Linked DNA regions of Drosophila melanogaster. The protein of the gene in region 2 interacts with the protein of the main gene of each other region in a biochemical or structural test. Each region holds a gene or a part of one and is shown on either strand. Other genes may lie near its edges. The genes, in order: nanos, pum and png.

Region 1 (11,756 bases), 9.9 Mb from region 2:
GTTATTTTAGTAGTTTATTGATGTTTAGTGGGCTAAGATTGTTCCTGAGGGGAGTTCCGCTGTGCACCACAATGGACTGAAATGAATATTCCCGGATTCCTTCTTCATTTCCGCCAGCGGTTAAAACCTGCAAAGTGACAGTGTGTCAGTTTTAATAACTAAAAAGAAAGTGCAAGTATCTACCGATTCATTTACATGGATATCAGTCGTGATTTTCGAGGAGACTCTTTTCTGAAAGTCGAATTGAAAGCGTTAAAAGCCAATACAAAAGTTTCCGGGTGCTGGCTGATGGACTCAACGTCTGTTCTTCGCACCAAGGACATTGTAGGATGCGATCCTCAGCCTTGATATCGTCTATCAACTCCTGGGCAAACATAGAAAGGTACGTTTCCTTAAAGTCCTTAAAGAATAGCGTGCTTCATTTTAATATTTTTTAATTAAAGCAGCCGTACAGACCCCAAAACAAACGACACACCAGAAACAAATTGGAAAAAACTTGATTTAATTCCAATTTACCAACTTATGCACGATAAATAAAAGCATGATTCTAAATTTTGGTAAACCTCCAAGAACGCGCACACTTTGACATTTTAAACTGCGGCTTTATCGCGCCAAAATTTTTAACCATGAAAATATTCTTGTGTTGGCAATGCTTGAAGTACAGTAATTTTTGCTCGCAACGTATGGCCACACTGCCAATTTATTTGTAAATTTGATACCCTGTATGTAAATATATTGGATAGAACATATATGTTTTGTAGTTATCGTTGGCAAAATTAGAACAACCTTTACATTAATTGTAGATATTTTCAAAACATGAATAACAATATGATTTGTTTCAAACGCCACATGCTTATCTCCAGCCCTGACATTCGATAAGCATATATCGATAAAGTCGTGATTGGGGTTGCACCTATTCTAGCGCAAACAACACATACACGTGCACGTGACGACAATGAGTAAAAAACCGCATTCCATAAAAGTTCCCACCCAATACAGGGCGACTGCCAAGATTTTGAAGGCGGCACTGGAGCAGCAGAAGTGCATCAAGACCCTAATATTTGCAGAGAAGCATGCCGTAAGTGGATTGGACCTCTCGTCCGCAGATCAAACCAATATGCGTATAACTTTTCCCTCTCGCACTTCACTTGTAGCGTACACGCTCTTTGCATACGGTTCTGAAAAAATTTAGCGAAAATCGTGTGGCACTGGAAAAGGCCATCGAAGAGACAGGACTGCTCAGGGACAATCCCAGTTTTGATCCCAGTTTGGCCAAGATTCTAGTCACCGAACTGCTGTTTGGCAGGAAGGAGCTGAACGGCGAAAGCAAACCCGTGCAAACGGTGCGAAGTTACAAGGATCGACTGCTAAATTCCATCAGAGATTTCGGTGTCCAGCGAAAAGGCAGGTTATCACACCGATTACCAGTATTAGCCGGCTGAGATGGGCAAGAAGAACAGGAAACAACAGCATGTCGATGTGGTGCCAGCTACCACTGATGATTCCCCGGCTGTCATTGATTCTCCCGTGGAGCATCATACGCAGCAGGAGGACACCAGTGCGGAGGTCTTCCTCTGGCTGTTGGCCTACAGTGTGCTCATGTTCACGCTGCCCTTCTTGGGCTTCTATGGCGTCCGCAGCTGGCTGCAGGAGTCCTTCCCCCATTTGGACCTTTTCACGGTCAACTGTTGGTCAGTTCTCACGGCTGTTGTGGTTGTTAACCTCGTGGTGGCCATGTATGTATTAAAGGCTTTCCGCGAGAAGCCCCCACCACCCTTGGAACCCGTGCAGCAGGATGAGGACGACGAGCCGGAAGCTGCGGAGCCAAAGAAAGAACAGTAACTTAAGTGCTGCCAGCCAAGTCCAGATTATTTCGATCGTTTAAAGGACCAGTAACGACTCTTAACAACTCTTAATAAATCTTACTTTGGCTACAATTTTGAACTCGTCTTTTTGTTTGCCCACACAGAACCCAATCCTCGATATGTGCGCATCAACACAAATCTATACAGCTTGGCGGAGGCCTTGGACTACCTGCATAAAAGCGACTGGCGGCGCAAGGAGCTGCCTGCGGACGCCAGCTATGCGGATTTTCTGACTGCCATCAAATCGCTGGCGGAGAACGAGTTCATGACCGATCTGCACGTTGAGGGTGTGCTCATTTTTCCTGCCAAGTGGTCCAACTACTGGGTCCGCCATCCGTTGGTGCACAGCAAGAGGTTTATACTGCAGAACAAGGCCACCTGTTTGGCCGCCGAACTACTTGCTCCGCCGTCTGGGGCCACTGTGCTGGATATGTGCGCAGCTCCCGGTATGAAGACAGTGCACATATGCAATGTGATGCAGAACAAGGGATGCATCTACTCCGTGGAGCAGGACCACGTACGCTACAATACGCTGTGCGAAATAACAAAGGATGCTGGTTGCGATATTGTAAAACCCATTTTGGGAGACGCCTTGAACCTAAGTGAGTTTTATATTTATATATTTCACAATGAATATTTAAAAAAGTAACACGTTTGAATTTCAGCACCCGAACGCTTTCCGGACGTAGAGTACATCCTGGTGGACCCTAGTTGCTCTGGCAGCGGAATGCAAAACCGCATGACCGTGTGCGACGAGCCGAAGGAGGACAAGCGGCTGCAAAAGCTGCAGGGTTTGCAAATTAAGATCCTGTCGCACGCGATGGGCGCCTTTCCGAACGTCAAACGCATTGCCTACTGCACGTGTTCGCTGTGGAAGGAGGAAAACGAGCAGGTGGTGCAGCGTTGTCTTCAGCTAAATCCATCCTTCAAGCTGCTCAGCTGCAAGAAGGCCTTGCGCAACAAGTGGCACAATGTGGGCGACAAGGACTATCCCAATATTGGCAAGAACGTCCTGTATTGCCAGCCGGACAGTGATCTTACCGATGGCATCTTCCTGGCCCTTTTCGAGAAACGCCGCGAGGGCGAAAAGGATTAGTTGTTTCAAACGCAAGAAGGACATTTGTTTCCTTAAATTGTAACCATTTCTTTATTTGGCACTCGAGCCATTGAATTTTTCATTTTCAGAATATGTGTACACATTTTTTAAAAAAATAAAAAAATTATATAATGCTGGCGGTTGTTTCATGTGTGAAAAATTGATCAATGGTAAACAAAATTGAATAAATATATAACATATATATATATATATATATATATATATATATATATATATATAGATATGTGTGTTGAAATGAATACTTGCGATACATGTAATAAAAATACTCTTCGCTTATCTATCAAAAAGTGCGGAATGTCAAAATTTAAAATTTTACAATGAATGCGTAGCCGACGACGAAAGTGTTCCTTGCTATTTCCTTTAGCAAGATTTAAATTTAGATTAAATTCTAATGATACGATTGACAGTTCGAAATTCAAAGTGTTCCTTTTTCAAAATTTAGTAAAGATTGTAGATCAATTGTAGATATATCGAAATTTTTCGGCCGCAAGCGAACATTTTACGAAATGAAGGCGACCAGTTGCAGACCAATTCCATTCATCAACTTTCGGATTGTAAGATATTTCTATCGGCCACGACGATTGAACAAGTATTACGATATTGTAAGTCTTCTTTAACAAAATTAGTTTCCCTTTCACAGAAACAGACATAAATTCTTGAATTATTGACTTGGATTTGAGTGATCGTTCGTTGTCTATACTATAAGATCTATAGGCACGGGATAACGCTCTAAATCTCTTTAAAATCGAACGCGCCAGGCGCTATTTAAACGTTACTATCTATCTATCTGGTTAACCCAGCTTTGATCGGAATGCGTATATATATTTCATGTTATATAAACGCTGCAAAAGCTGCCAGAGCCTCTGCTCCAGAGCTGGATTCGCCCTCTCTAAACCTTCATCTGTTGCTTGTAGTAACTGCTCTTGGCTAGGCGGAACGATTCCGCCTTGATCGCATCCTCCATGGTGATGATCGGCTTCTTGGGGCAGTACTTAATCGTGTGCGCCGAGTCCCCAGATGCCCCGCAGATGGGGCACACGTAGGTGCGTAGTTTGGGGCACAGCACTCGGTTAAAGTTATCTCGCACTGAGTGGCTATTGATAACCGCCTCTGGTTCGTTGTTATTCTCACAAAAGACGCAGTGGCGGCTGATCTGTTGGAGAAACAAGATAACAAATATATTTTGCAAGTTTTAATTCTGCGAATCCTGGATCAGATCCACTCACCTCTTTGGCCTTGCTGTTGTAACGCTTGTACACCTTGTTGTTGTTGTTATTATTGTTACTGGAATTGGAAGCTCCGCGCAGCTGTTCGCCCTGCACGGGCAATCCCAGACCCATTCCCACGCCGAGATTGGTGGACACAGTGGCCGCTGTTTGGGCCTGCAAACCCATTGTATTGGGAGCGGCTGGTATATACGACATGTTTCGCCACACGTTGTTCAGATGCTCCCGGTAGTTGTTCAGCCAGTGGGTGGCGAGTGGAATGGGCATTAAGTTGCCGCCATTGGTCTGCAGCTGGGCAGGATTGCGGCCCAGTGGCAGGTGCAGCCCCTGCTGTTGCTGATGCTGCTGCTGCGGTGGCATTTGCACCTGTGGCGGAGCACTCCCGTAGGACATGCGACCGAGATCATCGCTGGCATAGCCATTGGTCGCGAACTCCTGCATCACATCCTGCATCGAGCCAGCCGCATTTTCTGGGAATAGCAAGCTTTTCATTACCTTGTCCTGAACGTATTTTTTTTATTATTCGCGTTTCAATTGCATTTCAGAAATGTAATAAGCAAATACGGATTAGTTTTTGCATACAAAAAAAAAACAAGAACAGACGAGAAAAAGCAAAGAACTTCTAGAAAATGTAAGACGCAAAATGGCTTTCCGAAGTTAAAACAAAAAGGAATAGCGAAAATGCTAAGGTCAATGGCCGAAAATTCAGGGGCGCTCGAAAAACCTCTTGAAGGGGATACAAGTGTTGGGCAAAGATATATTTTAAAGCACATACAAAATAGTAAAATAAAAAATATACTACACTAAATGGCGAAAATCCTCTGACCTCTGCAGCAATTATACATTTACACAATTTTACTTCTGTTTTGCTCTGTGCTTTCGTTGCCCCTTTAACTAAGCCCATGGCCATTGACTTTGGCATAACTGTACTTGTACAGATAGTCATCTCGCTCCCGCGCACTGTTTTTGGCTATTCTGTTTTAAACGACGCCATATTCGCCATTTCTTCTTACCTGCTGCGCCCGTCGTCACCTGCGCAAAGATTTTCAAGGATCGCGCAATCTCGTCCGTTTGCTGGTGACTCGCACTAGCCGCTGCCGCTGATGCAGCCAGCGCCAATTGGTGCTGCGCCATGGCCAGTTGCTGCTGCTGCTGGAGCAGCAAGTGGTAGTGGTACTGTCGCTGCATAAGGAGCGAATTGGCGGTGGCTGCGCTGTCGGCCAGAAAAGGGAAGTGCGTCGACTGCGCAGACGTCGACGGGTCAGGGGTCACCGGCGTAATGGGCGGACTCAAAGTGGCCGACGAGTTGGCCCCACTGGTATCCAAATACATGTCCTGCAGGCCCAGAATGTTGAGCCCTCCTCTGGCGTGAAAAGCAGAAAAGTTATCCTGCAATTGGAAAATCTTTCCAGACTGAGCCAACGAGGGGGGATTTGCAACACCTACTGCTGCTGCGCCACTGCCCTCCAAGTTGCTGCGGAACATGGCGAAAATCCGGGTCGAAAGTTACGGTTATCGCGCACTCTACTTTCCACAAATCCTCACCCAAAAACCAAGCACAGTTTATTCAACTGAAGTATTCGCGATACTTCTTTATCTAATAATAATGTACATGTAACTAAACTCGCTTTTGGGTTAAAATCGTGACGCAGAGGCAAAAAAAATCGTATGTCCCTTAGACAACTTGAAACAACTGCGAAGCGTACGGCAATTCCAGGAATTTTGTGGTAAAGCTACGCGCCAACTAACGGTTCTTGCTTAGAGGTGGAATAATGTAGTTTTCCAGCGATAATAAATATATCGATATTTTTAGTAAAATTGAAAAGGTAAACTTAATTTTAGAAAATAATTTATAAGAAATTTAATAGTATGCAAAATAATTTTTACTTGCTAAGAATATGTGCCACTAATTAAAAGCTGGACACCGCGCAATGGAAAATAGTACTACAACACAGCAACAAAGCCTGAGTTATCAACAAAAAAATACGAAAACATCTCCCAAAACTAAGCACCCACACGCGCCACTCGCCGTCACAACACAATCACTGCACACCACCATTCGAATTTCGCGCACTGTGACAACATCACATGATATCGGCGCGGCAACATCGGATTACCGACAAAACGAACTATCGCACGAGCCACCGCCGGCGAAGAGCGCTCGTTTTGCAACACCGGCGCGCGCTGAACGAAGAGAACAGCTGACTGCTTGATACGTGCGTGTTTCGCGGCAGGAATTACATAAAGTTTAGAGCCTCTGACGCCAGACCCCCCGAACATTCGCTCCGATCAAACTACCTGCGAACGGTCACCTAATCCCCACCATGGTAGGTTACCTCTGATCCCGGTCATCACTGGCGTTCGCTCACATCCGTCCTTACATGTGCATATTTCGAGGTTAAAACGGTCGAAGCTTTCAATGATTTTTTCTCCTTGCAGTACAGAATAGCTGCCCTTGTGCGGGATCGCGCCTGTCTCTTCACGTGCCAGCAGGCCTCGCAGAACCTGCAGCAGCAGCAGGTTAGAGTTTGGCTCATAAAACCCCATGGCGCAACCGGCCTAAGTCATGACTTTACTCCGCAGCCCCGCTTTTATAGTGCGCCAGGTCGCAGGGCCGGCTTCTTCTCGCAGTTCTTCGACAACATGAAGGCGGAGATGGATAAGAACAAGGAGATCAAGGACAATATCCGAAAGTTCCGTGAGGAGGCCCAGAAGCTGGAAGAATCGGATGCCCTGAAATCGGCGCGGCAAAAGTTTAACATTGTCGAATCGGAGGCGCAAAAGTCGTCTAGCATGCTAAAGGAGCAGCTGGGCGCCATCAAGGAGCGCGTAGGCGATGTTCTGGAGGACGCCAGCAAATCCCACCTGGCCAAAAAGGTTACCGAGGAGCTCTCGAAGAAGGCTAGGGGGGTCAGCGACACGATCTCCGACACCAGTGGCAAGCTGGGCCAGACCAGCGCATTCCAGGCTATCTCTAACACGACGACGACCATCAAGAAGGAGATGGACAGCGCGAGCATAGAGAATCGTGTCTATCGTGCTCCTGCCAAGTTGCGAAAGCGCGTCCAGCTCGTCATGAGCGATAGTGATCGCGTTGTGGAGCCCAACACGGAAGCCACTGGTGAGTCTCCATCTTTTTCCTTCAATAAGATCAAAGGTCATGGCCATAATGTAATGTTACTTTTCAGGTATGGAGCTGCACAAGGACTCCAAGTTCTACGAGTCGTGGGAGAACTTCAAGAACAACAATACCTACGTGAACAAGGTGCTTGACTGGAAGGTTAAATACGACGAGTCCGAGAACCCTGTTATTCGTGCCTCCCGCCTGCTGACCGATAAAGTGTCCGACGTCATGGGTGGACTCTTTTCAAAGACAGAGCTTTCGGAAACGATGACGGAGCTGGTGAAAATCGATCCGAGCTTTGATCAGAAGGATTTCCTCCGCGATTGCGAAACGGACATCATTCCAAATATTCTGGAATCGATTGTCCGTGGGGATCTGGAGATTCTGAAGGATTGGTGCTTTGAGAGCACTTTCAATATTATCGCAAATCCCATTAAGGAGGCTAAGAAGGCCGGCGTGTACCTGGACTCCAAGATCCTCGACATCGAGAACATTGAACTGGCAATGGGCAAGGTTATGGAGCAGGGCCCGGTACTGATTATCACGTTCCAAGCCCAGCAGATTATGTGCGTGCGGGACCAGAAGAGTCAGGTCGTCGAGGGAGATCCGGAGAAGGTGATGCGGGTTCACTACGTCTGGGTGCTGTGCCGCGACCGCAACGAACTCAACCCCAAGGCTGCCTGGCGGCTGATGGAGCTGTCCGCCAACAGCTCAGAGCAATTTGTTTAGCGCGCTGCCACGCCTTTCTTTTTTACCGAGCCGTTTAAGTTTCCCTCATTTTCTCATCCAAAAAACAAACGAAAAGATTACTGGACACTGAGCATTGACGACGAACTGACCACGAACTCGACCCGCAGGAATCTATTAAGTGTGTACAAAGGTTTCGCTTTCGATTGCTTTGAAAGTTTTGTCCGCCACTAGTCAACTGCGTCCGCCCGGCAGGGGCTGCTGGTCGGTCCCGTGAACGATTCCCCCACGAATTCCGGGCACAGCAGACTGCCGGCTCCGGCGCGGCTCATATCCCAAATGACGCCCCGGTTGGCCGTTCCTTGCGGCCACGCCCACCGCCGATCCACTTCCGGCTAGCACGGAAGGAGTGTTCGGTGCGGGGATTGGCCGTCGGGATCGTGGTTCCTCCGCTGGTGTCCTGGCCAAATCTATAACGTTGAAGCTTAAAGTGCAACCGCCGGTGTATAAGGCGTATAAGTAGTGACCATAAGCAAATTGTTGAGTGTAGTTGAGTTTAGGTATTTTAAGGCCCCAACCCTTTCCGACACCCCCCCCCCTCCCAATCCCCACCCCCTTCTCTTGTAAATATGGAATTCGCTCAGGGCGGCTTGGGCATCGTAAATTGACTGTACACACAGAATCCAAAGAGTTGTATGTACGTACACATCGAGCGCCACTCAGAATGTCTAGAAAAATAAAAATACTTCAATATTTTTACATGTACCATTTAAGCAGCTGGCGAATTCTTGTGAAATAAGTGTTATGTTTCCTTACCCTAATCACAGACATCCAAGTTTATGGTTGCCCCATGGATCGGGCATCCGTAAGCGCCACTTGCTACTAAGTGGGCAAAATAAAAAAAATCCAATACTTTTACATAATCCATTCGATTGGGTGTTTTTAAAACATGGAATGCTTTATTTTCCGATGACAGTTGTAAAACATTTTAATTTTACCTTGGTTAATAAGTAGTATAAACTTGCTGTTTTGAGGGAGAAAATAGTTTGTTGCTCAAATAAAAATGTTTGCAAATACCTAAGTAGTCATTGTTTTCTATGCATGTGATTCATGTATCTCAAAAACTTGAAAAATATTTTGATGTTTGTGACAAAAACAGTGATTATAAATTAGAGACATTTTTATTTGATGAATAATTAGCATAAAAAAGCCTATAAGTATTTGATTTTTTAATTCACAGAATTCATTCATGACCCACTTCGTTATTCAAAATAGCACATATCAGGAATAAAATGTACTGAATAATAATAATAATTTATACCTTTAACAATCGGTTAACGAGCAAGGTGGTAAAATCCGAGCAAAGTTAAGAATGCTAAGTAATTTCTTCGTTTCGAATACCCCCAACAGTAAGTCAATGTTACTGCCTCGATCGGTTAACAGAGAGTTAACAGAGTTGGGGTTAACTCGGCTGGCTCTCAGCTTGAGTTTGTCATTCCGCACGGAAAGCTCGTCGCGAACGCACGTAAAACTGGCAAGGCGGAGAAATATAACAAACATTTACAATTTGGCCCGCAGAATAAGCCGAACGAGCGCTTAATCATCGAAAAGTATCCAGCGATCGAGTGGCGCGTAACCTGTGCGTGAGTGATAAGGAGCTAATTGATAAAGGAAGTGACGACGGTGCCCGCATATCTACATAAATTCGCAATATGATGGCACTGCGGAAAACTTTGGTCTTCAACAGTGCGCTTCTGTTGGTTCTGCTGCTGGCGGAGTGTAAGTACCACGACAGATAAAAAGATATAACTACAGTGACAACGGGCGAAACAAGATAGATAGACACGCACACTCGATGTTTCCACTTCTGCAGCGAAACTAGTTTGCAGCGCAGCTGGATGGGATCGAGTTGGAGCGGCCACTTGGCTAGACAGCTAACAGTTTACGGTTCACCCTTTGCCTTAAGTGCCAGCCAAGATCGAAGACCATGTCCGGTTCGGGACGCCTTTATGGTGAAGCCCGCCCGGTTTACAGCGCATAAATATGGGGTTTTTATTGAATGGTTCGACCGCCCGCCGTCCCGTCGCAATGAATCGTCGTCCATCAAGGTCCCGCCAGGTCGCGAAATTAAATTGCAAGACTTTAATTCCATGGGGGAACTCCATCCATCCAGCTGGCTTCGCAGTGCAGATAAGATTTCGCCAGGCCTTTTGCGCTATATTGGTAAATGATCGCTACGCAGGAATTGTAAGCGAACAGTTGTGGTCAAAATAATAGGCGTTGTTGTATAAATCCTGCCAAGAGGGAACTATTCAGATGGATAATTGGGTTTCAGATTTCTTTTTTAAATCAATAAGTTCTAAAAGTACAATTTGTTGAAATGATAGTGGACATTCTAGCATTGGATTTTCATGTTGTATTTTTCATTTTTAAGCTTGAAAGCCAATTAATTTAATTACAATATAATCCTTAAAATTTCCTTACTATTACTACTATTACATAACCAACGAGATTACTTTATAACAAATGGCCAAATGACTGCCGTTCCTTCCTGCAGATTATGAGGTGTCAGAACTTTATGAGCTGGGTCTTAACTTATATTATTTGTCCTAAAGTTGTTAGCACCCGCAACTCAGTGATAAGAACTCTCCGGACTCTTTGACACTTGTCAAAAGTGGATCAAGTTTTCTTCGGCTGAAGGCTTTGGCCTATCGTCACGTACTCAATTCAAAACTGGGTGACTTACGAATGTCGAATGCAATAAATTGCAAGACATCATGGCTAAATCATGTGCTTTTTCGAATTTAATTGGCTTTTGTTTGTGGAATTTTTGGAAGCTCCACCAGCTAACGCGCGATTTTGACGCGATTCGTGAGCGGTTTATGCGAATCCCAAAGCGATCGGCATTGGCGAATCGTTTGTGGCATTAGAAATGTGTTTATTGTTTCAGTTCTGCTATATAGTATATATGTATGTATAAACGGACAGGTTTGCAAAAAAAAAAAACCATACGATTCAAACAAATCTTAAAGTGTACAGTGGCAGTGATTAAAGTAGGAATGGAATGGTTAAAGTTAGTTATTGAGTTTCGGAAAGTAAAACAGGCTGCTATTTACTTATTCCAATTTAAATAAATATATTAAAATATTTACATATATTTTATTGACGCCATCATTGCTATTTCATTGACCTCGTCTGTGCTAATTAATGCTGCTTTTTTGAGCCACAACACGCTTTTACTTTGTTTGCCAGAAAGCGTAACCCCAAATTCATTGTCTACTGATAATGCGGCGGTGGCAGCAAAACAAATTCGTATTGTCTGGGTCTGGTGTTTAGTTTTGAATAAAATCACAGTTGGCTGATAAGGAAACATATCTGCAATTTGGCTAAAAAGGTGCTAGTTGCGAAATCTCGGGGTAAAGGGTAAATATTTGCGCTTCCCCTGAAACCGAGAAGATCTGTGTTTTCTTATTCAGGTAGCCCGCTGTAAGCTGTAACCAAATACCGGCTAATTCAAGCGAATGCATTATCTCATTTCGGCTTAATTGCTTTCTCTTTTAGCCCAAGCCAAGCCCTCGCAGGATTTAAACAAACCGCAGACGAAGGAGCCAAGTGATCTGGGTGCAGGAGCTGGAGCAGCACGAGGAGTGCCGGTGGCTGCCAAAAATAAGACAGCTGTCGTGGAGGTGAGTTGGCCAAAACAAAACGCTGGGCATGGGTAACTGGGCCAGGCCAAA
Region 2 (11,569 bases):
ACGAGAAAGAGAGACACACTAAACCAGGTCTAGCCGGCAATGCAAATCAATCAAATCCTATGAAGTTAACGTCGACGCCGTAGTTGGCTTCGTTGCATTTGCCACATTGAACAGCAGAAACTACAATTTTACTCGCTTAGGTACATTTTTTTCATTCTATAAAATCCATTACTACATCATCAATATATTTTCCATGCCTAGAGAGCTTCGTAGCTAAAGAATTCGCATCTTAAAAAAAATGTAAAACGTGATTGTCGATATGGTTATAATACAAGTTCCACTGTGCCACAGAAAATAAACATTCACACACATTATCATTTAAGCAGAGCGTCTTGGATGTTGGAAAATTGCAAACATTTCAGCTAATTGGCAAGACAAGAAGAGTCGGAAAAGAGATAGAAAGAGATGAGAAAGAGAAGAGACTCTGGTTTAGCGGCATTTGTTCAATTAGAACGAAAATGTTTATAAGAATAGGAGGCGGGTTGGTTGGTATGCTGTAAGAGGTGGAAGTGGTTATAGTCTACAGCAGGGCCAAAAAGAGGAAAAAAGAGGGAAACAAAAAAAAAAGCAGTTGGCGTAAATTAAAAGTCCAATCACTGACAAATCAGAATCAAAAATGCAAATATATGTATTTATATCCTTGGAAGATTAGAACGTATGCGGTAATCCTTATCATAAAATCCCGGAAGGCTGGCACGAAATCGTTCTTTAATGAATTAAGTTTTCAAGAGATTCATAAAATTAGGCTATTTACATATGTTAAATTGAACAAAACTCTAGACTGCCAATAATTCACGCTACAAAACCCCGAAAGTTTATGCGAACATAAGTTTCATAAAACGGATGTAATTATTTATTAACAATGGAAGTAACAAATTTGTTGGATTTTTTTGCTTTTCCAAATCAAATTGGAAAACAAAAATAAGCAAAAATAAGAAAAGGAGGACGACAAAAACAATCAACAATGCTCGAAAAGCTTCTTAACAGAGATGTTCCAATTAGGAAACCCATTATCCAACCAGAAAACGCAAAACGAAACGGGGGAAAAAAGCTGCGCTCAAAATCAGATGCCTCACACTGAGACAAATTCCACAGACACACACACGCACACAAAAATCATTACGCGCACAAAAAGCTACAAAAAAACATTAAAGAGAGTAAGGGGTGGGGAAAACTGTGTGGAAAAAGGAGGGAACTGGATGAAGATGAGAATTCGCAGAAAAAAAGAGGCAGGCAGCATAAAAGAATCGCAAGTAATAAGAACACCGCGTACACAGAAAAAAACTAAATTCGTATCAATCCAATCACATAACTCACACATAAGTAATAACTCATAACTCAGTAATAAGTAAGAAATCCAAGACGCTATCTTAATCAATGTAATTTGTATTGTTAAGAATCAAATCTTAACGCTCGAAAAATATCATTTCCAATTTTCTTACTGTGCAGAAGGCGAATGCGAAGAAGGGACAGAAGAAACAAAAGAGGAAGCAGAATGCACCACATGCAGGGAAACAACACAAACCAAGGCAAGTGAAACAATGAGCAAACTTAATGCAACAAAAACAACAACAGCGCAGAAGAATCGTTTTTACCCTTTTCCCATTCTCTCTCTCTCTGTCTTCTCCTACCCGCTGCTTTTCTTCTGTTCCCCTTTTTATTCCATTCCATTCCGTTCCGCCCGGCTGTTAAGCGCAAATCAATGACCTACGACATCAACAAGAGCGCGTCAAACACACACGCAAAGCCATAAGTGGAAGCAAGAGAGCGGAGAGATAGTTCTGGAAGAGAGAAGCGCGCGGGACAGGGACAGCACGTGGCAGGTGGGCCCAGCAGGGGGAGAGAGATAACTAGAGGGAAGGATGCAAGGAGTTTGGCGAAATATTGCCGATGCCTGCGTTTCTTTACCCCCCACAAACTGGCGTAGTAGTAGCAGCTCGGTAAATACTCGAAAAGATGTACATAATACATCAGTTTCAATATACAATGCATTACATATGTTTTAGTTTTTCCCATTTCCCATCAACAAAATATGCAAATTCATATAATTCACATATATTTTTCTTTTCTTCTTTTAAGAAAAACAAGGGTAAGATAAAGGACATCAACAACGGAACAGAAACCCCAAGAACAACAACAACAAGTTTGCGAAAACTCTCTTTTGCACAACTTTACTTTACCTCCAGCCAGGAGGTCTTTATTTTGTTACTATTATTCCGACTGGTCCTCGCATAAATGTAATAAATATCTTTCTCCTCTTCTTCTGCTGGTTCTACGCTCAGAGAGAGAGAGAGAGAGAGAGAGAGAGAGATTTCAAAGTTGATGCAAAGTAAACCGAAAAAAGGGTGACACAAGAAACAAAAAGTCAACCCACAAAGAGTAATTAAACCAAGAATAATCGTCATTTTACACAAATATTTACATTATAAACAAAAAAAATCAGCTAGAAACATCAAATGCGAAAGTAATATCATAAATAAACATGAATTAATAAGCAAAGAATTAATCTGATGTGTAGCGAGCAGGGTATCAAAAGGCCCGCACAACCCAGAACCGTTTTGAATCGACAATTTGCTTGATAAAAACATAATCGATTGCGGGCCAACCAACACTTGCCCATTAAAACCCTGCATTGTGTGCGAAGGAAGTGAAAAGGAAATTGCAGTGCCAGGTGACAAGGGGAATCACCTGAAGCAGAGGTCAGAGAGGGACGCCACGAACGGGTGAGCGAGACGAGAGGGTTAGACGAGTGAAATTCTTTAATTAAAATGGCATTTCCTATAAACAATTGTGACACAACGAGAAGTTCTTCTCCACCCCACTTGCACAGCATCGCCAACTCATTAGTTCCCAGTATTAAATTCTTTCGTTTATAAATTGCTGCCAGTTGTTTCTGGCTAAAATGCCAGTGGTAGTAGTAGTCGAGTTCTCAAGTCATCAGATTTACCGGCAACAGACAGGTGAGCAGACAGGTGTGTGAGTATCCAAGTGTATCTGCGTGTGGTTGTGCCGCATGTGCAATGTTCTGGCTTTATAAGGTTGAAAGATTGCAACCGGAATGGGATCTATGTATCTCAGCCCCGCCTCTTTCTTCGCTTCCCCTATATTTCCACATTTATCTCCATTAGCCAGTGTAGCAAAGACACGAATAAAGCAGCACGGACGGCGAGTAGAAATAATGAAAAGCCAAACAAGAAGTTCAAGAATAATAGAATCAGCACACAATGGTCCTCTTCTGCAAGTTCTATAACTATCAGAAATAAAGGCGCTACAAAAAATCTTTAAAACTCAATCTCGAACAAAAAAAGATTCTATTAAACTGTCACATAGTCATAATCACGCAAATATCGATCTCCATTCAGCAATAGAAAATGGTCAAACTTAGTAAATTGCAATGCCCTTAACAATTATTTTATGAGGCGCAAAATAAAATTCCTAAGAAAGTTACGAAAAGAAACGAAAAGTTTTCGCCAAAATTGGAAGAAAAAGTACAATGACAAAACCATAACCACTAGCTATCAAGCCAACTTATTGATTAATCTAACAAGAGAAAATAATCAAATGAAATTTAATGGTTAAAGTTTTGGCACTCTCTTTTTATTTGAGAATAAACTCTCGATTTAAACATGTAAGAGCTCCATTAAGGGCACTTGGTCATAACTTTATTTTTGAGCACTCTTTATCGGCAGTTTTGTCAAGTTGGTTTCGCCTATTTAATTGACAACTATCGAGTTTTAGTTCGCTAAATAAACAGCGTATAATAAGACAAATGAATGTAGTGGCAAACGCACTGAACTTAAGTAAGGCAAGAAAACTGTCATTCTCTTGGGTTCACAAACGCAAAGTAGATGATTCATCTCATTGACAGGAGAGAAGAAGCAGCCTTTTAGTTGTTCGTAGCTACCCCATCATGTAAAACTATTGATATTCCATCAGTTATCAATACAAACATACATATACAAACATGGTTAACTAATTAGCTTATCATTCCGAGCCTTATCAATTGAATTAAAGACTACTACTTATGCTACTGATAAGTGGTAGTATTCCTAAGCAAATCAATTGCAACATATTCCCCTCTTGTCCGCATAAATTATCGTAATCGAAACGACAATTGTTGGATTAATTATGGCAAGCCAAGAAAGTTAACCTATTACTCACCGCTGCATTCCGATTGGCAGCTGCAACAGCAGAGCTGTTCATATATTGATTCTGTGGCGGCATCATTGCGGCTCCCATGGGCACAGTGGTCTGGCCACCCATGTAGACATAGTCCTGGGGTCCTCCGGCTCCGGGTGGACCCAATGGCTGTTGCTTGGGCATGCCGCCGTTCATTCCCGGGTGCATGGCTCCACCATGATGGTCGTACATGCTGCCACCCGATTGGGCATAAGATGACATGTGACCCAAGGCAGCCGCATGGTTAAGCAGATTCGCGTTGTACTGGCCGGGATGTTGCTGCTGCTGTTGTTGCTGCTGCTGCTGCTGTTGCTGGCCGGGATGTTGTATGCCCAATCCATTGCCGTTGCCCAGTCCATTGCCACCGCCCATAAGGTGATGTGGATGCCCCTGGTTCTGCGCCTGCTGCTGTTGCTGCTGCTGCTGGGGATGCTGCTGGTGTGGATGCTGATGTTGTTGCTGGGCTGCAACTGCGGCTGCTGCCTGTGATATCATGTGATTGTGCTTGGCCAACGCCGCCGCCTGTTGCATGGCTGCCATATTCGCAGCTGCAGCGGCCATCGATTGATGATGCAGACCGCCATTCGTACCAGAGCCGCCATTATTTCCGCCGCCAGCTCCGCCGCCGCCACCACCACCCAATCCGCTGCCCATGCCAATGGTTCCAATGGCGCCGGGCCCACCATTACTGCCATTTCCCGGTGGACCGCCAGGAGCGGCATTGGCCGGATTCATCGGCGGATTGTACTTCCATTTGTCCGGGTTCTGGAATTAATTCAAGGATATATGTATGAGCCTTTGAATAGTTCTCGATATAATCTAACTTAATTGCTCTCATTTAGTTCGTAAATATAAAATTCTGAGCTATTTAATCCTTTGTATTTGTACATTGCCAATTAAGTCTCTGTCGAATATGAAACAAATTTCCTAATCAATATCTCCTATTTTACCACAAACATCTTGCTATTCTATTCGCACAATTCCATTGGCTGCACACTCAATGCCAAATTGTGATAATCTGTTTATGCAACCATTTCTGGCAGACACTTATACAATCTGCGGAGGTCAACTGGGGGAGAATTAAAGCCCACCTTCCTCCCCCTGAAATAAGCGCCACAAAGTCTAATCAAGAAGCAGCACTGGGAAAAGTTACCCAATAACGATATGGAAGCCAAAATTTAGAAAAAGGGGAAAAAATTGTCATCTGATGCTAATTGCTAAATATGCTCTTCAATACTATTTGCATAGAAGTAAAAATACTTATATTCTTTGTATTAATTAATTAACTTGGTAATGATAATTCTAAAATATTTAACTTTTAGGTAGTAAAGATAATATTCCTTTATTGCGATAAAAAAAAAAGTTATTGGAAGAGCCCCTCAACATGTTACTACAATGGCTCTAAAACTGTTTTATTTTGGAGTCTGGAATACTTACATCGATCCCATGGCCGTCGTCGCCGCACGCCCATCGGGTCTGCTGTTGCTTCTGGGCAAAGTGGGCGGCGTACTCGGCGGCGGCGGCCTCGTGCAAGGTCGAGCCTACGGCTCCGACCCCTGGCACACCGCCACCCACTCCGCCCACGCCGACGCCAACCCCACCAGGCGATGGACGCTGCTGGAAGACATAGCCGACGGCGGCGGCTGCGGCGGCACCAGCTGCATCGGCGGCATCCTGAGAGACGCCACCTCGAGATCCTACAATGGCATCCGTGCCAACGCCGACGCCTCCGCGGCCATTGCGATCATCGTTACCACCCAAAAACTTCATGTGTTGCTGGTGTTGCTGCTGCTGCTGTTGTTGCTGCTGCTGTTGGTGTTGCTGGTGTAGCTGTTGAAAGTAGGGCGGTGGTGGACCGTAATGTTGCTGCTGCTGCTGTTGATGTTGCTGATAGAGTTGCTGCTGCTGCTGCTGCTGCTGCTGTTGGTGTTGCTGCTGCGGCGAGGGCGTCGATATGGCAATTGTGGGCGCGGTTAGGAGCTCAATTTTGGAGGCTTTTCCTAGCTATCGCAGCTGACAATTTTGCGCGTATTGCCAACTTGAATTGTATTTTAACTTGCAGCACAAAGAACCACACGCGCGTTTTGCAACACTATTCGCTCGGAAATATTCACAAATGTTACATATAATTTTTTTTTAATTTTCGCTTCAGATTTACACTTGTTTTTTGCTTTTATTTATTTTGTTGTAAAAGAAACCACACTTTTTGCTTAATATATTTAATATTTATTTTACAGGCTTTGCTGAGATTTTTCACACACTTTTTGATCAAAAAAATTGAATTTGCTTCGTTTGGTTTGGTTGTCGTGGTTGGTTTGTTTTTTTTTTTTTTTTTACATAAATTTACACAAAATTATGAATAATATTTTACACAGTTGCACAGCTGTTGTTTTTGGGACTTAACAAAACTGAACTTTATTTATTTAATTACGTATGAGAATTGGTTAAAACTTGAATTTTTACAGATTTCTTGTTGAGAATTGTGGAATTTCCGTTTATTAATGTAGTTTATTAATTATAATTAGGATGAATTTTAATTTACACGACGTTTTAATGATGAAAATATACACAAACTGCAATGAGAAATTAAAGTGTAAACTGTGATTAGTAAACGCAGTAGTTTTTGGAAATAAATTGTTGAGAAATTATCGATTTCGAATCAAATAACTTTTTATATGATGCTAGTTTTTATTCCCAATTCAATACGACACTCGAACCACTGTACTTTTGTGCGATTAAAAACTTTGAGCTGGTCATGGTAAAGAAAAGATTCCGATAACACAGACAGCAGACAGGGCACATAATAATAATCAACAAAATAAAACGCACAAGGCACGCGTAAAAGCAAAACAATTTCTTCTAAAACTGAAAGACGACTAAGGCAAATATTAGCCATGATTTCCCCATTACGAAAACAATAACAAAGTAGATGCCGATAAGTGGTGAATTGCGGGGGGGGGGGGGGAGTGTGTGCGTTGCGTTTACGTTTGAGGAACAGGAGCCCCAAGAACAAGTCGCAGAAGCAGACTATCCATAGAAGAACAACGCAGCGCTGAATCATGCTCGAAAAATACGGAAAATATAATTTGGTTTCTTTGAAGACCGATTGGATTAATACTCTTAATAAATTACGATGCAGGCTAGTTTTATCAGTGACTATCAATACATAACTTTTCAGACTTTATCTATTCGTAAGTGCTTAGCAACCGTAACAAAAAGTTGGCACACGATAACAATGGCGTTTATGTTGCAGTTCCAAAAAGGTTTTAACGAAATTTTATAAATCACCATTAGGACCATTGCATTTCAACATTATGAAAATGATCTTTAGATCTGATTATTCAAATCCTGTTTTACTCTTTTAACATGAAATTCTATAATAGTTTGGGATTATAATAATATCCATTGTACAAAATATGGAATCCAATGAAAACAGAAACAAAATCCCTTTTTAAAATCTGGTTACATTGTAGATCGGCTTGTTTAACATCTAAGAATTTATACATATCTGGAAAACTTGTGAACAGAATTATTGTTATAGCGCCTCCCGCGGAAAGCACACGGAAAGACGTATAGCGGCTTGTTTAACATCTAAGAATTTATACATATCTGGAAAACTTGTGAACAGAATTATTGTTATAGCGCCTCCCGCGGAAAGCACACGGAAAGACGTATAGCGGGGGGTGGTGGGGCGGTCGAAAATGGAAAACATATAAAATTAACATACACACAGAGGAGCAAGAACAACAACAAGAACGATGCCGGCAGACGATGAGCGAATGCGACAGAACGAATGGCGAAGAAAACGAAACGAAGACGAAGGCGAAAGGCGGCCGCAAACATTTGAGGTTACGTTTTCAGCGAAAAGAATGCGAGTGGGTCGGTCTTTTATTTTATTATTTTTTTTTTTGTTTTTGGGTTGTTTACGAGAATTATATCTCCATTTCTCCCTTTCGGTCCTTTCGTGCCTCCCAAGAAGCCCCCCAAAAAAGGAGAGACAAGTGCAGCATGCGAAAAGGAAGAGAGAGAACGCGAATGCTGTGCCCCTGGAAGCTCGCACACACCCACACTTCTAGGGGAGGGGGGTATATATAAAAACAAACATAAAGATAAACCATAAAAGAGATGGCGGACAAAACAAAGGAGGTGCGGCCAATAAGTAATTAGGAATTAAAACCATTTGAATTGTTTAATATTTTAGTTGGTAGTTAGGCGTTCTTATTGGGAAAAGCACATATATACAATTGCAAGGCGTCCCGAGAGAGAGAAAGAGCGAGAGAGCACACACACACACGTAAGAGGGAGCTGAATGGTTTGGCGGGGGGACGCGGGGAGAAGGAAGAAGCAGAGCAGCCAAATGGCCACCGCTCAAAAGGAAGAACACGATGGTATAAGGAAATAATGAAACACACACATTCGCACACATACGCACAATCGGAAAAATTTGTTCACCAACCAAACAAAAAGAAAGGAATCATATAAATTATTCAGGCACACACTTAATTGATTTTTACCTTTTTCGGGCAAAATACGAATTAATTTCGCAAACTATTTATACATGTTTGCATATGTACAAAAAGCGGTCTGGAAATGCACACATACACTCATGCCGCCGAAATGGAAAAGGAAACCCGATGATGACAATGTAAAACGAAACAGGAGTACTTTACGGTTTTTAGCTGTTTTTTTTTGTTCATTTCCTTTTTTGAAACACTTACACATGCACTTAAAAAAGCCTTCTCGTTTGCATTTCCATTGATTTGATGGTGTGTGTGCTTTCGTTAAATACGAAATTTAGATTATTTAAATTACAATTATTTACACAGGATGATGAAGAAGAAATCGGCCAGGAATTTCTTCAACGTCGCCGCCGTCCGTCGCAGAACGATAATAAAAGCGAAATGCAAAGACACACTGGCCAAATACAACTACAACAAAGAGCTAGAGAGAGAGGAGAGAACAAGAACCCCCCAAAATGAGAGCAGTGTTGGCAAACGTGCGAAATCAACAGAGAGAACGAGTGAGCATGCCCACAGAGTGCGAGAGAGAGCAAGAGCGGGGGTGCGAGCGCAAAAGACCGACAATTTATTTTACTTTTATTAACATGCGCGCAAAATATTTATATAAATTGATTACACATTTTCTTGTTCTTTTATCATCACCCCCTTTTTTATATTCACCCTGGCAAATGAATTACGCTGCCCCAGCCAAATTGTTTATATATTATTTATCAATCGATTTTAGGGGCATGCCAAATTTGATCAGACGCCAGTCGCACACAAACACACACTTGAGCACACACATTCACAGACCAACACTCGCGCATACATACACACGCACCAGGGTGTTTGTTTTGTTTTTGTTTGCGGCTTTTTTTTTTATCAATTTGTGATCTTTTTTCGCAGCCGCAAATTTGATTGTGATTTACCGCCGATTGGAAATGTAAACAATGCTGTCGAACTATCAGCATAAGGCTGGCAGTTTTAAAATACTTTTCATATTTTATAGCTGTTGGGTACTCACACCTTAGCTTATTTGAAAAATTTACATATTACAAGCACGCCGTTCTAGGTCTGCTTCTTCTTACGCGCGAACATTTAGTGTGACCGCAGCTCGACCGTTCAAATATACCATTGCGAAGCGCACTGAGAAACACTCTCCAATAGTTCTAAGATACCAAAAATTTAGCATACTACTATATGTAAGTTATAATTTCATTTACTATCCCATTAGAGAAATTAATTGATTTTTATGTTCTATAATGCATTTAACTAGTTGCCCTAGTTTTAATGTTGTTAAAATAGCATTACAACAATTACCGTTTATAACTTCACTTTCTTCAGAGTGACCATATAATGTAAAGTACAGTGAACACTGTATATAAAGAATCAATACAACCATGGATTTACATATTTTTCCATCTGGTTTATATCAATAGATAATATATGTTAAATGATATATATAAAAACTAAATTACACAAAATTTTTTTAGGTATAGTAGGTTTATTTAAACTTGTATACGATTGAAATTTCTGCAATCAAATCAAATTTGTTGTTACAATAAAGTTCAGTTCTACTTCGGAACTTGAAATCTTCCCCAAATATGTTATTTATGTGTTATTTATTTGGTAATTTCAATCCAAGTTGAAATCGTTTTCCGAGCTATGTGTCGTCATTACAGTGCAGTGCAGTTGTAAACGGTTTGTCCGATTTCTCAGCAATAAATCGGAATATATATGTAGACAAAGTGTGTTGTTTTAGGAGGGGAAGGTTCTCTAAAGTCCAAGTAGGTCCTATCCATTTTTGTGTTTTCTTCTCTTACTTGCAGATTTTTTTTCGTTTTTTTTTTTTTGCTTTTACAACATTCTTTTTTTTTTGTGTTGATTTTTGGGGAGGGGTGTGTGGAAATGTTTATAAATTGTATGTTTTAGGCAGCTACCGATTCGGAATCGTTGTAGTTATCCGAAACATAACCGTCGTTGGCATCATTTTCGCCATCGGAGTTCCATTTGAGGCCATCTCCTTTGGTTGGTGTCCCATCCACGGCACGGTCCTCGTCGTTCGACTCCTTCTTGGAGTTGTGTTGGCCCTGATCGGCGGAATCAGCATCATCTGCATCGTCATCAATATTTTTCGCTGGGCGACTACGGGGCTTTGTTGTTTCCTCTTTGGACACCTTGCCAGCGGCAAGAGAGGGACGTCCACGTTTCTTCGGCGCCACTACCGTCTTCTCAGGCGAGCTGTGTTCCTCCTCCCCGGAGTTCTCATCGTCCTGATCGTCGTCATTGTCCTCGTGCTTCTCGACGGGTGCAGCATTGGCCTTTGGACGACCGCGCGGACGACCGGTGGGTACGTAGCCAGTACTGCCACCGCTACCCGACTTGTTCTGTGGTGGACGACCGCGTTTCTTGGGCACTTGTGGCTCCCCATCGCCATTGGACTCGACAGCCCGCTTCTTGGGTCTTCCCAGGCCGCGTCCCGTGCGCGATATGTTCAGGTTGACGGATCCAGCCGACGGTCGGCCCACTGGGCGACGTTCTTCGATGCTGCTGTTGCCGTCGTCGTCCTCATCCTGATCGTCTGTTTTGAAAGAAACAAAGCAATGTTAGTTAATAGGTATAATAATGAAATGAATCCAGGAATATATTTAAAGTAATATTTGTGAAGGTAAATCAATGGTCTATCGACCATTTACATATTTTTGATTTTGATTGATTGCATGGTTGCGGAATGTTGAAATCATGACTCTACCTGTGATCTTCGAAAAAAAATCACCAGGTAGCGTAAAGATAAAAGTGCAAGTTTGGTGGAAGCAAACAGTGCTTAAATTTCCATTAATTGAATTGAGACCATGAAATGTTGGGGATTTACGTACTAACTGCACTACCAT
Region 3 (9,789 bases), on a different chromosome or scaffold from region 2:
CCAGTTTGTTCTAAAATTTGTGAGTCTATACGGTGGGTCGACGATGTGGGGGCGAGTTAGCATATTTAGAAAAACAGGTGAGTGATCTGATGATAAATCTGCTAGTGCTTCGGCGGTGACCATGTTGCGGGGGACATGTTTAGTAATTGCAAAATCGATCAGGTCTGGGATTTTTCTTGGGTCTGCTGGCCAGTATGTAGGCTTACCCGGGGATACATAGTCTAGCTTGTTTTCTGGCTTCGTAAGCGCATTGTACAATTGCTTACCCTTTGGCGACACAAGTCGAGATCCCCAATGGGTGTGCTTGGCGTTATAGTCACCCGCTGCGATGAACCTGTCACCTAGTGTGTTAAAGAATTCCATGAATTGATCCTCAGAGATTGGAAAGCGCGGTGGGCAGTAGACTGCGGCTAGAGTCGTTGAACCATTGTTGAGTTGTAAGGCTATGGACGTAGATTGTAAGTAGTTTTTGTCAAAATTGTTTAAGTGGTGGTGTTTTATGCGATTTCTGATGAGTATTCCAGTGCCTCCATGAGCTTTACCATCTGGATGATTTGTACCATAGAACAAGTATCCTGGTATATGAAAATTGTTTTTATTTGTGAGGTGCGTTTCTGATAGTAGCATTACGTCGATGTTTTTTTCGTAAATGAACTGTGTGAGCTCTTGTGTATGCCGTGAAACGCCATTTGCGTTCCACAGAGATATCCGTAGGGAAGCCATTATGGGGATTTTGAAGATACAAGAAGTTGAATCAGGATATTTTGGTTTTTCATGAGCTCTTGCAAAGTATTTTGCATGAACGTCATGAAGTCTTTCATGCTTTGCTGTAGGGATAGCATCATAGCTTCGATGCCACTTTGTTGTGTTTGTTGGATGTTTGTCGGTGTATGTTCGGAATGAGCAGTTCTTGTCGGTGGGGCGGGCACTTCTAGTCCGGATTTTAGGGCGCTAGCGAAAGAAATTGTTGGAGTAGTGCTTGGGACAGTTAGGGGTGGTTGAAAAATCGGTTGCGGAGAGTAGAAATTGACTTTGTTGTATGTATGTGCTGTGGCAATACGTTTGTTTAGGCGGCTCTTCAATTCTTTGTACACCACACAGCCTCTGTAGTTTGCAGTATGTTTTTCCCCGCAGTTACTGCATTTCTTCACAGACTTATCGTCCTTGTTTTTGGGGCAGTTTGCGGTAGTATGAGGTTCGCTACAGACAACACATACGGACTTAAGGGTGCAGTATGCCTTGGTGTGGCCGTATTCTTGGCAATTAGTACATTGAACTGGATTGATACGTTTGTGCGGCTCCTCCACGGTGATCCTCCGATGTAGCAAGTACTGTAAATTGTATATTGGGTGCACTTCGTTTTTCTTTAGTGCCTGGAGCTCTGGTTCGAGTTCTATTTTGAATAGTGGCTGCGGAACTTTGTCTTTGTTTAAAATATTAATAGCTGTCTTTGCAGAAAAGTTTTTGGCCTTCAGAGCCTCAATTATCTCAGCTGGTGTCACTGTTGCTTCAATGCCCTTAAGTACTACCTGTAGCCCTTTGCAACTTTTTAATTGGTATGTGTAGTAGTTTTTACCAGCATCATTTAGGTATTTAGTCACTATACGGTGGTCTGCTTCTGTTTGGATCTGTAGTTTTATTTCATGAATATTTCCTTTTTTAAGTGGGATAATGTGGAACTTGCTGTCACCAATCAAAGCAACGAGTTTATTTACAAGTGCATTTGTACTTTGTTCTCGTATGAAAATTGGTGGAGGCCTGGTCTTTTTTGGTTCCCCTACCGTTTTTTCGTTGGGTTGTTCGGTCGCAGAATCAGCCAAGATAGCATATCGGTTTGAATTATTTACTGCAGAGTTTTCATTGCCGTTGTTGGTTCGATTGATTTTGGGTTGATTACCTGCCTTATTGTTTTGAGGGCTGAGCTTTCTCTTGATTTGGATGTAGCGATCCATGCCAGTCTGCACAGTCGAAATCGACTTCTGCTTTTGTTTTGATTCTTCTTTACGTGCATTATTGTTGTTGCAAACGGTCAGTGCTGCTGAATTATTTACAGCTGGCACAGCGATAATTAGTTGGGCCGCTGACGAAGTTGATGTTGTGGCAGTTGCCAGTGAGGTCACTGCACTCGTTATTGCAGTGTTACAGTTACCCGGGACGGTCGTTTGGCGCTGCGAGAGGAGCGGGGTAGGAGAGGCGGTCTCTTCGCTCCACGACTTGTGAGCCGAAGCAGGCAGAGAGGGAGAGCAAGAACGCGGTCTGTCGTTCGCTGAGGGCAAAAGTTTCGAGTTAGTTGAAGGTGAGGGTGCTCGATCACCGATTTGCGGTGAGACGAAAGAAAAGTATGCATTGTTGCGTTGTAAAGAGAGCCGGCGCTCGTCTTGTTCACATTGTCGCTGAGAACGTATGTCGTTTTGATTCATTGTTCTAAGTCCACATATAACAATTACCAGAACAATATGGAATAATTATTTATTTTAGTAAATAATTACTATAGTCAATAATTGTTAGTTGTGCAAACTGCACTTTACACTTTGTGTTTAACTTTCACTATACTGTTGTAGTTTTTAGAACTTGCTATTCGTAGCTTGAAAGAAACACGTCTCCACCCGAAGACTGTGGAATGCCGAACGCGCGCTTTAATGCTATCTAAAATTGACTACGGACTGCCAATCTTCGGTTGGTGTGCTAAATCACACTTAAAAAAGCTACAAGTCCCATATCACGGAGCGGTCCGTCGCGCCATTCACGCATTTCCCACATCTCCAGTAGCGTGCACATTGGCAGAATCGGGTCTCCCGAGTATCCAATCACGCGTAGAAGAAACTACATTGATGCTTATCCCGAAGCTGTACACCACGTCAAACTGCCTGCTAACCAAAGACTTCGGAGCCATATTTAAACAAAAACGGAAATTCAAGTGCATATCCACCCTAAGACGTTGCGCCAACTACATCAAGCTACTTGACCTTCCCCTGCCTAAGCCCAGGAGGCCCTTCAAATCGCCAGCACTTTGGGGTTCCAAACAGCCTAACATAAACCTTCAAATATACAATGCTGCCAAAAAGGATACAGGTCGCCTAGAATACCAAAAACGTTTTATGAGCGCACAAGAAGATCTTGGTGTGAAAAACTGGATCTACACCGATGGTTCTAAAGTCACCGGCGCAACTACTTTTGCGGTTGTTGACTCTAACCGTAAAATAATTGCAGGAGGTAGGCTTCCGTCCTACAACTCCATATTTACAGCCGAAGCTTTCGCCATTCTCAAAGCATGCCAATTCGCTTCCAAAAACGCTGGAAAATCTGTTATCTGCACAGACAGCCTCTCCTCTCTTTCCGCTATACGCAACTGGAACCATAATGACCCCACAACACAAGAAGTTAGGCACATTCTAAGTTCTCACCCAAAAAAAATCACCTTACTCTGGGTTCCCAGTCATCAAGGTATTCATGGGAATGAACTTGCTGACAAAGCCGCCCAAGAGATGAGGCTTACACCATCAATCCTGTTCACTCCGTTTAACTCCAAGGACCTAAAAAGTCGAATCAAGTTATACCTCAAAGAAAAGAAACTCTCCGAATGGGCACTCTTCATGCACAGGTACCAGTCTATCAATCCGAATTGCATCATGTTCAAGCCACCAACGAACGTACATAAACGGGAATGCGCGACCTTTATCCGTCTACGCATCGGGCACACCCAATCCACACATCAACACTTACTGATGAGATCGGCGCGACCAACATGCCAACTATGCGGGGACGAGCTCACCGTTGACCATATTCTCAACGCCTGCAGTCAATTGCACTCAATTAGATCTCACTTATTTGGTACACATAGTCTCTCGAATTGTTTAAGTATCCCATCCTGTGAAAATATCTCAAAAATTTACAAATTTGTCCAAAAAGCTAAGTTTATTATATAAAGCAATTAACCCATAAGTCTCGAGTCGAAGGCCCCCGTAGCTAGTACTCATTAAATTTAATTAGGTTTAGTATTGTATACTATATTTAATTTTGTTAAATAAAATAAATAAAAATTTAGGATAGTCATACTTTTCACATGGATGGACTTTTTGAATGGGGTTAGTTCACGATGCGTTAGTTTGATTAATTAACCAGACTCTAATAACTTACTTTCATTGAGCACTGTTGCTGCTGGCCAGATGAGCAATTTTCATATGGGGTTTCCGAAGTTCCGAGTTTTCGGCTTTTTCCGATGGAACTGTGCATCTCTTGTTTCGAAGCAATCGATAGATGGCGCGCTTGCGCTTTTGCTGGCTAACTGTACATCAAGGCGGGATCGCGGATTACGCTTTCGGAACTCTGCGCACTCGAGATGGAACTGGGTGACTCTAAGCTGCGTGCGGTAAGGGTGCTGGGCCAGGGCACCTTTGGCCGGGTCTTCCTCTGCCACCAAAACGAGGTGCGCGGACAGCCGGAGAGGAAGGTGTGCGTGAAGCGGATCATCGTCCGGAATCCGAAGACAGAGTTGGGATTGATCAAGGAGGAGGTGTACATCATCTCGCAGCTGCGCCACCCGCACATCGTTGAGTTCCTGCGCTCCTTTAGCCACGCGGGCACTGTGAACATCGTGATGGAGTACGTGCCCAACGGCACCTTGAGGGATGTCATCCAGCAGCTGCCGTCAGGCACCGGGGGAGTCAATCAGGAGCGGCTGATGGGCTACTTCCGCGACATGGTAGTGGGACTCGAGTACCTGCACATCCGCTGCGTCATCCACCGAGACATCAAGCCCGAGAACATGCTCCTCGACGCCAACGACCGCGTCAAGATCGCCGACTTTGGGATCGCGAACGTTCATGCGCCCAGCACTCAACTGCAGGCGGGCATGGGCACGCCCATGTACATGGCCCCGGAGGCGATGTCCAGCCAGGGCAAGGTGGATTTCAAGTCGGACGTGTGGTCACTGGGGCTAGTCCTCTACGAGCTGTGCCTCGGACGCAGCCCCTTCGCCGCGTTTCTCGACAAGAACGCCACCCCTGCCCTACTGCACACCGTAGTCCAGGCGCTGGTCCGCCCCCGGCTCGACTGCCAGCTCATCCGGCGTCTCTACGATCCCGTGTGGGCGCAAGTTTGCGAGCTGATGGTCGTTTACGAGCAGGAGCGCCGCATCTGCCTACCAGACATCTTCCACCTCGACGCCGGCATGACTGTGACCCTCTACAAGCATTACTTCAGCTACAGCTACTAACGGAAGCCAATGGTCAGCTCACCAGCACGAGGAGACCTCAACAAATATTTCATTGTACTTAAGAACTAGGCTAGCTTAAGCGATAAATTAAGGTGTGTGCTGTGCTTTGTGTGCGCCTGTGCTTTTGCCAGGGGATCTGTCAGCTATAAACAGTATATAATGTATATTCCAAAACAGTCTCGCTCAATGTCATTAACGTAGTCTTTAATTTACATTTGTTCACCTATTGTACAGTAACATTAATCCTCTAAAGCTTCTGGCCCTGCTGCTGCAGCTGGATCTTACGCTTCAGACTCTTTACCAGGGCGTTCTGCTCCAGCTGCTGCTTACTCCTCTTGGGGGCTACCTGCTCATCCCCATCCGCATCGCCGTTTGCAGCGCCGCCCTCCCCCTGCTCCTTTCTGCGCTTTAACTTCTCGCCGATGATCTGCTGCATGCCCTTGGTGGGCTTGTAATGGGAGTGGGTGGGATCGATGTTGTACTCGTGCGACTTGTAAACGGCACTGAAGCGATTATCATTCAGGTTTACCTGGAAGTCGTCGTCCAGCTTCTCCGCATTCTGCGGCTGATTTTTCGATTTCTTTAACTTCTGACGACGCTTTCGCTTTGAACCGCTCGCTTCTTGCTCCTCCTTCTTGAGGATTTTGGTCAGACTGAAGTGTTGCTTCTCGTCGCGCCCGTCGCCATCGTCCAGCAGTAGCTCAAGCTCCTTCTCTTGCCGCTTCGCCTCGACGTCCTCCTCTCCATCGTCCTTTCCCTTCTTTTTCTTTTTCTTCTTGTCCTGCTTCGTTTTAGGGGGAGCGTAGTCTCCATTAGCGAACTCCTCGGCGAAATAGGCGTCATTCAAATCGATGCCATCGGGCACCATGGACTCATCGCTGTCCTCACCGGCATCGCCTCCTCTGGCTTCGATCTGGCGCTGGCGGCGCTGTTCCTTGCGCTGCCTGTTCTTCTCGCTGCGTTTCTGGATCACCTTCTCGATGGGCGTGAGCTCGGCCTGGGCTTGCTGCTCCGGCTGTGCCTCTTCGTGCTGGGGCTCCACGTTCCAGGTCATTTCCATTTCGTACTTCTGCTCCTTCTCCTTCTTTTCCTGCTCCAGGATGTCGGCCAGCAAGTTTTTGTAGGTGGCAATGCGTTCCTGCTTAGAAGTCTTTTTGGGCTTGCTCTTCTGTGGGTCCTCTGAAACCGCCTTTTGAGCAGCCTCCTCCGCCGGGGATTCCTCTGCCTCAGAATCCTCTTCCTCACTACTGTACGCTACTATCTGGCGCAGCTCCTTGTCCGTGAGCTTGTCAACCTGCCCGCTGGAGAGCTTGTCACCCAGCTCACGACGGTCCAGCGCCGTCTCGTCCCAGGTTAGATCCACCTTGGCCTGCTGCAACGCCGTGGTGGTGAACTGTCGCGGCTTATAGCTGCTGGCATCCGGCAGCTCGAAGCATTCGTCCGACGGCGTGTCCTCCTCGAACGAGGTGTCGTCCGGGATGAAGCGCAAGTCCACGCGCGTGGCGGAGCTCTCGTACTCGATACCATCGCACTCCTTGTATACCTTGTCGGCCGTGTCTATGCTGTCGCACTCGACGACAGCATAGTAGTAGCGAAGTCGGTTTAGCTGGTACTGACGCAGCTTCTCCATGTGGTAGTCCTCCCCCTCTTCGGCATCGCTGTCCTGCTGGCGTACGAGCTCCTCATCGGAGTCGTCTTCTGGCTCCACGCGCTCCACCAGTTCCTTTGGGCCGTGCACTTCCTCCTCGGCCATGCGCGCTTTCCCGAACTCTGAGGGGTATATCTTGACGCTGAGAATGCTACCGCCGGGCGGCAGGAAGGAGCTGAGCATGACCATTAGATCCTCGGCCCGGATGCGGTCCCAGTCCATGTTGCAAACAGCCAGCCGGCGGGTGCTCTCCTCGGTGTGCTCGGCATCGTTGTCCAGTTCGCCCCACACGTGGTCTATCTGCAGTTCTGGACCCTCGTCCTCATCATCGCTGTCCTCGTCTGAGGAGGAGTCGGTATACAGGCGGCCTTCTCCGCGGGCGTAGTCTATCTCTGGGTTGGTCAGGCGCTGACGAAGACTCTGTGACACCTCGGAACTATCGCTTTCCAGAGTATCGTTGCTCTCCTCCTTCTCCAAGTTGGCTATGGCTCGCTCCTCGGCGCGCCGCTCTTGTTGCTCTGCCTCCGCCTCGGAGTCAAGATCGGATTCCTTTTTGGCAGGCTCCTCGCCGCTGCTGCTCTCGTTCTCGTCCAGTTCGTAGAACTTTCTGAGGTCCTCGGCGTTGCTCTTGTTGACCGGGCGGCCGTACTTGTCCACGGTGTACTTCACCTTGAACTTGTCGTCCGTGAACATGCCCTGGAAACGCTTGTCGATCTTGACCTTTCGCTGCACTTTTGGAACGCCGCGAAATCGGGGATCGGTCAGCAGGTGCTGGAACCGAGAGTCCTGCCAAATTCCGTTCTCCGAATCATTGGCTCCAGCTGCCTTCCCCATGTTGGCCTGCGACGAGCTCGGTGCCTCCTTCTTCGTCGTCTGCTTGTCCAGCTTCCCGGACTTGTCCTTCTTCTTGCCCATTTCCCGAGGAGCCCAGTAAAATACAAACAAAACGTAAGCACGTGCGGCGCGTCACACCGGTTTGGTTATCGATATCGGATGGTAGCGATAGAACTTAGAAACAGATAGGCGGCCTATCGTCTAACGCATATCGCAGCCCACCGAAAAGTCATCGATGACGACTTCTTGTAGTTTACCAATAAGCAAGTGTTTTTATTTAGCTTTTTGAGCGTTTATTGAGTGCGGTTACAGTTACTCAAGTGCGACCAAGACGATGCCCGCCGTTTCCCGCTTCGGTCGCCAGTGACTCGAATCCAGCGCCTGCAGCACCTCCATCGGATCTGCGATCTTCAGAGGATTCTCCACTGGCTGCCTGCGTGGATGTGCTCGCACTTGGACGTTTGGATGTTTGGGTGTAGCAGTGGGAGCGCAACGCCAAGAAATAGCAATCAGTTAATTGCCGCGATTACGCCCGAGTAGTCGTCAGATAACCCGCGAGAACAGCACAACGCAAAAACTGCTCAACTCCACGGGAGCAGCAGCAACAACAAGGCCAGCAAACAACTGCCAAAAGCGGTACGGGAAAAGCGGGGTGGAGCGGAGTGTGCGGTGCGAAGCGGAGCGGAGATGACTAATAGCTCTGAGGGCAATGGCAACGGCGGCCGACGCACTGTCGACTGGCAGAGATTTGGACTTGGCGGCGACGAGGACGGGGATGTGGCGGTGACCAGCTTTCGCCAGCGGACCAACAACAACACCGGCGGATTTGTGGATTTAGGTAACGAGTACACGTACGCGGCTGGTGGCCACCATGCGTCCGGGGCCAACGAGATCTTTGCGGGCGAGCAGGGCGACAAGCCGTGGTAAGTGAATCAGGCAACCCTTCTGGCCAGGATCCTAAGCCTCTTACTCAACAGGTGGCGCTCGAACTTCTTCATCTCCCAGCCCGTGCTATTCGGCACCTGGGACGGAGTGTTCACCTCCTGCCTAATCAACGTGTTTGGAGTGATCGTGTTCCTGCGATCCGGATGGATCGTCGCACAGGCAGGCATTCTGAACGCGGTGCTGATCATCTTTTGCACGGTGGTCATAGCTCTCGTCAGCGTCCTCTCGGCAATCGGTATCTGCGAGCGGTGCCGTGTGGAAAGCGGTGGCGTGTACTTTCTCATAGCCCACACGCTTGGTTCCCGATTCGGAGGCGCCTTGGGTTTGCTCTACTGCTTTGGCCAGGCGGTGGGATGCGCCCTTAACGTAATGGGATTTGGCGAATCAATGGCTGGACTAGTGGGACTCGAGGGCAGCAAGTGGGCCATCCGCGGGTTCGCTACGGCAGCGGTGCTCCTGTTGGGCTGCATCAACGTGGCCGGCGTCAAGTGGGTCATCAAGCTTCAGTTTATACTGCTCATGATACTGCTGATCTCGGCGCTGGACTTCATGGTGGGCAGCTTCACTAGTGAGGCCAGTGAGTACATTATTCATATGCGATTGTTAGCCATGTCCAGTGACTAATCGCTTCCTAAGTAGATTATGGCATTTTTAAATAATCTGTTGAATTTAGTTGGAATATGATTCAAAAGAAGTTGCAAAGATTTTATGCCAACAAGCTATTAATCTGGTTTTATTTGCAGGTGGCGGCTTTAATGGCTGGGCGAGCGGAAACTTCGTGGAGAACCTATGGCCAAAGTACGACGACGGCTACTCCTGGTTCCGTGTGTTCGGCGTCTTCTTTCCCACCGTCACCGGAGTGCTGTCGGGCATTAACATGAGCGGCGACTTGCGCGCGCCGTCCACGGACATTCCCAATGGCACCCTGGCCGCCTTTGGCACCTCGTAAGGTTTACACGTCGCCGGGAAATCAGTAGCTCTTGACATCTGATTTCTTTGCAGCACGTTCCTGTACTTGGTGTTCGTCCTGTTTTTGGGGGCCACCTGCCAACGAAGCTTCCTGTATACTGACTACATGATCTCTGTCAAGGTGTCTGCCGTGCATTTCCTGCTGTTGGCCGGCATTTATGTGTCCAGCATGTCCTCC

What was found.
Region 1: the proteins of pum (region 2) and nanos are reported together in a solved structure, tested with the Drosophila melanogaster proteins (one study listed by BioGRID).
Region 3: of the proteins of pum (region 2) and png, one has a biochemical effect on the other in vitro, tested with the Drosophila melanogaster proteins (one study listed by BioGRID).

What each region holds. Positions count from the first base shown.
Region 1 is NT_033777.3:19,151,438-19,163,193, reverse strand, and holds nanos (nanos), read right to left. Parts: upstream 5,957-11,756; 5' UTR 5,694-5,956; coding exon 5,222-5,693; intron 4,679-5,221; coding exon 4,209-4,678; intron 4,136-4,208; coding exon 3,872-4,135; 3' UTR 3,585-3,871; coding exon of another isoform or gene 3,489-3,584; 3' UTR 2,992-3,488; downstream 1-2,991. Other genes in the region: CG42359 (uncharacterized protein), read left to right, coding at 1,444-1,842; Nsun5 (Nop2/Sun-like domain containing protein 5), read left to right, coding at 956-1,078, 1,155-1,404, 1,970-2,467, 2,531-2,961; CG11779 (uncharacterized protein), read left to right, coding at 3,489-3,584, 6,648-6,728, 6,792-7,329, 7,397-8,061; CG5835 (uncharacterized protein), read left to right, coding at 9,732-9,798, 11,581-11,705. UniProt on the Drosophila melanogaster protein: Maternal RNA-binding protein that is required for germ cells proliferation and self-renewal. Acts by forming a complex with pum and brat that regulates translation and mRNA stability.
Region 2 is NT_033777.3:9,227,913-9,239,481, forward strand, and holds the start of pum (pumilio), read right to left. Parts: upstream 9,114-11,569; 5' UTR 8,898-9,113; intron 6,753-8,897; 5' UTR 5,950-6,752; coding exon 5,617-5,949; intron 4,945-5,616; coding exon 4,162-4,944; intron 2,366-4,161; exon of another isoform or gene 2,080-2,365; intron 1,941-2,079; exon of another isoform or gene 1,450-1,940; intron 241-1,449; exon of another isoform or gene 221-240; intron 1-220. Other genes in the region: D1 chromosomal protein, read right to left, coding at 10,607-11,259. UniProt on the Drosophila melanogaster protein: Sequence-specific RNA-binding protein that acts as a post-transcriptional repressor by binding the 3'-UTR of mRNA targets.
Region 3 is NC_004354.4:1,352,084-1,361,872, reverse strand, and holds png (pan gu), read left to right. Parts: upstream 1-4,271; 5' UTR 4,272-4,339; coding exon 4,340-5,215; 3' UTR 5,216-5,385; downstream 5,386-9,789. Other genes in the region: CG11417 (uncharacterized protein), read right to left, coding at 5,463-7,778; CG12773 (uncharacterized protein), read left to right, coding at 8,385-8,620, 8,675-9,219, 9,386-9,587, 9,645-9,789.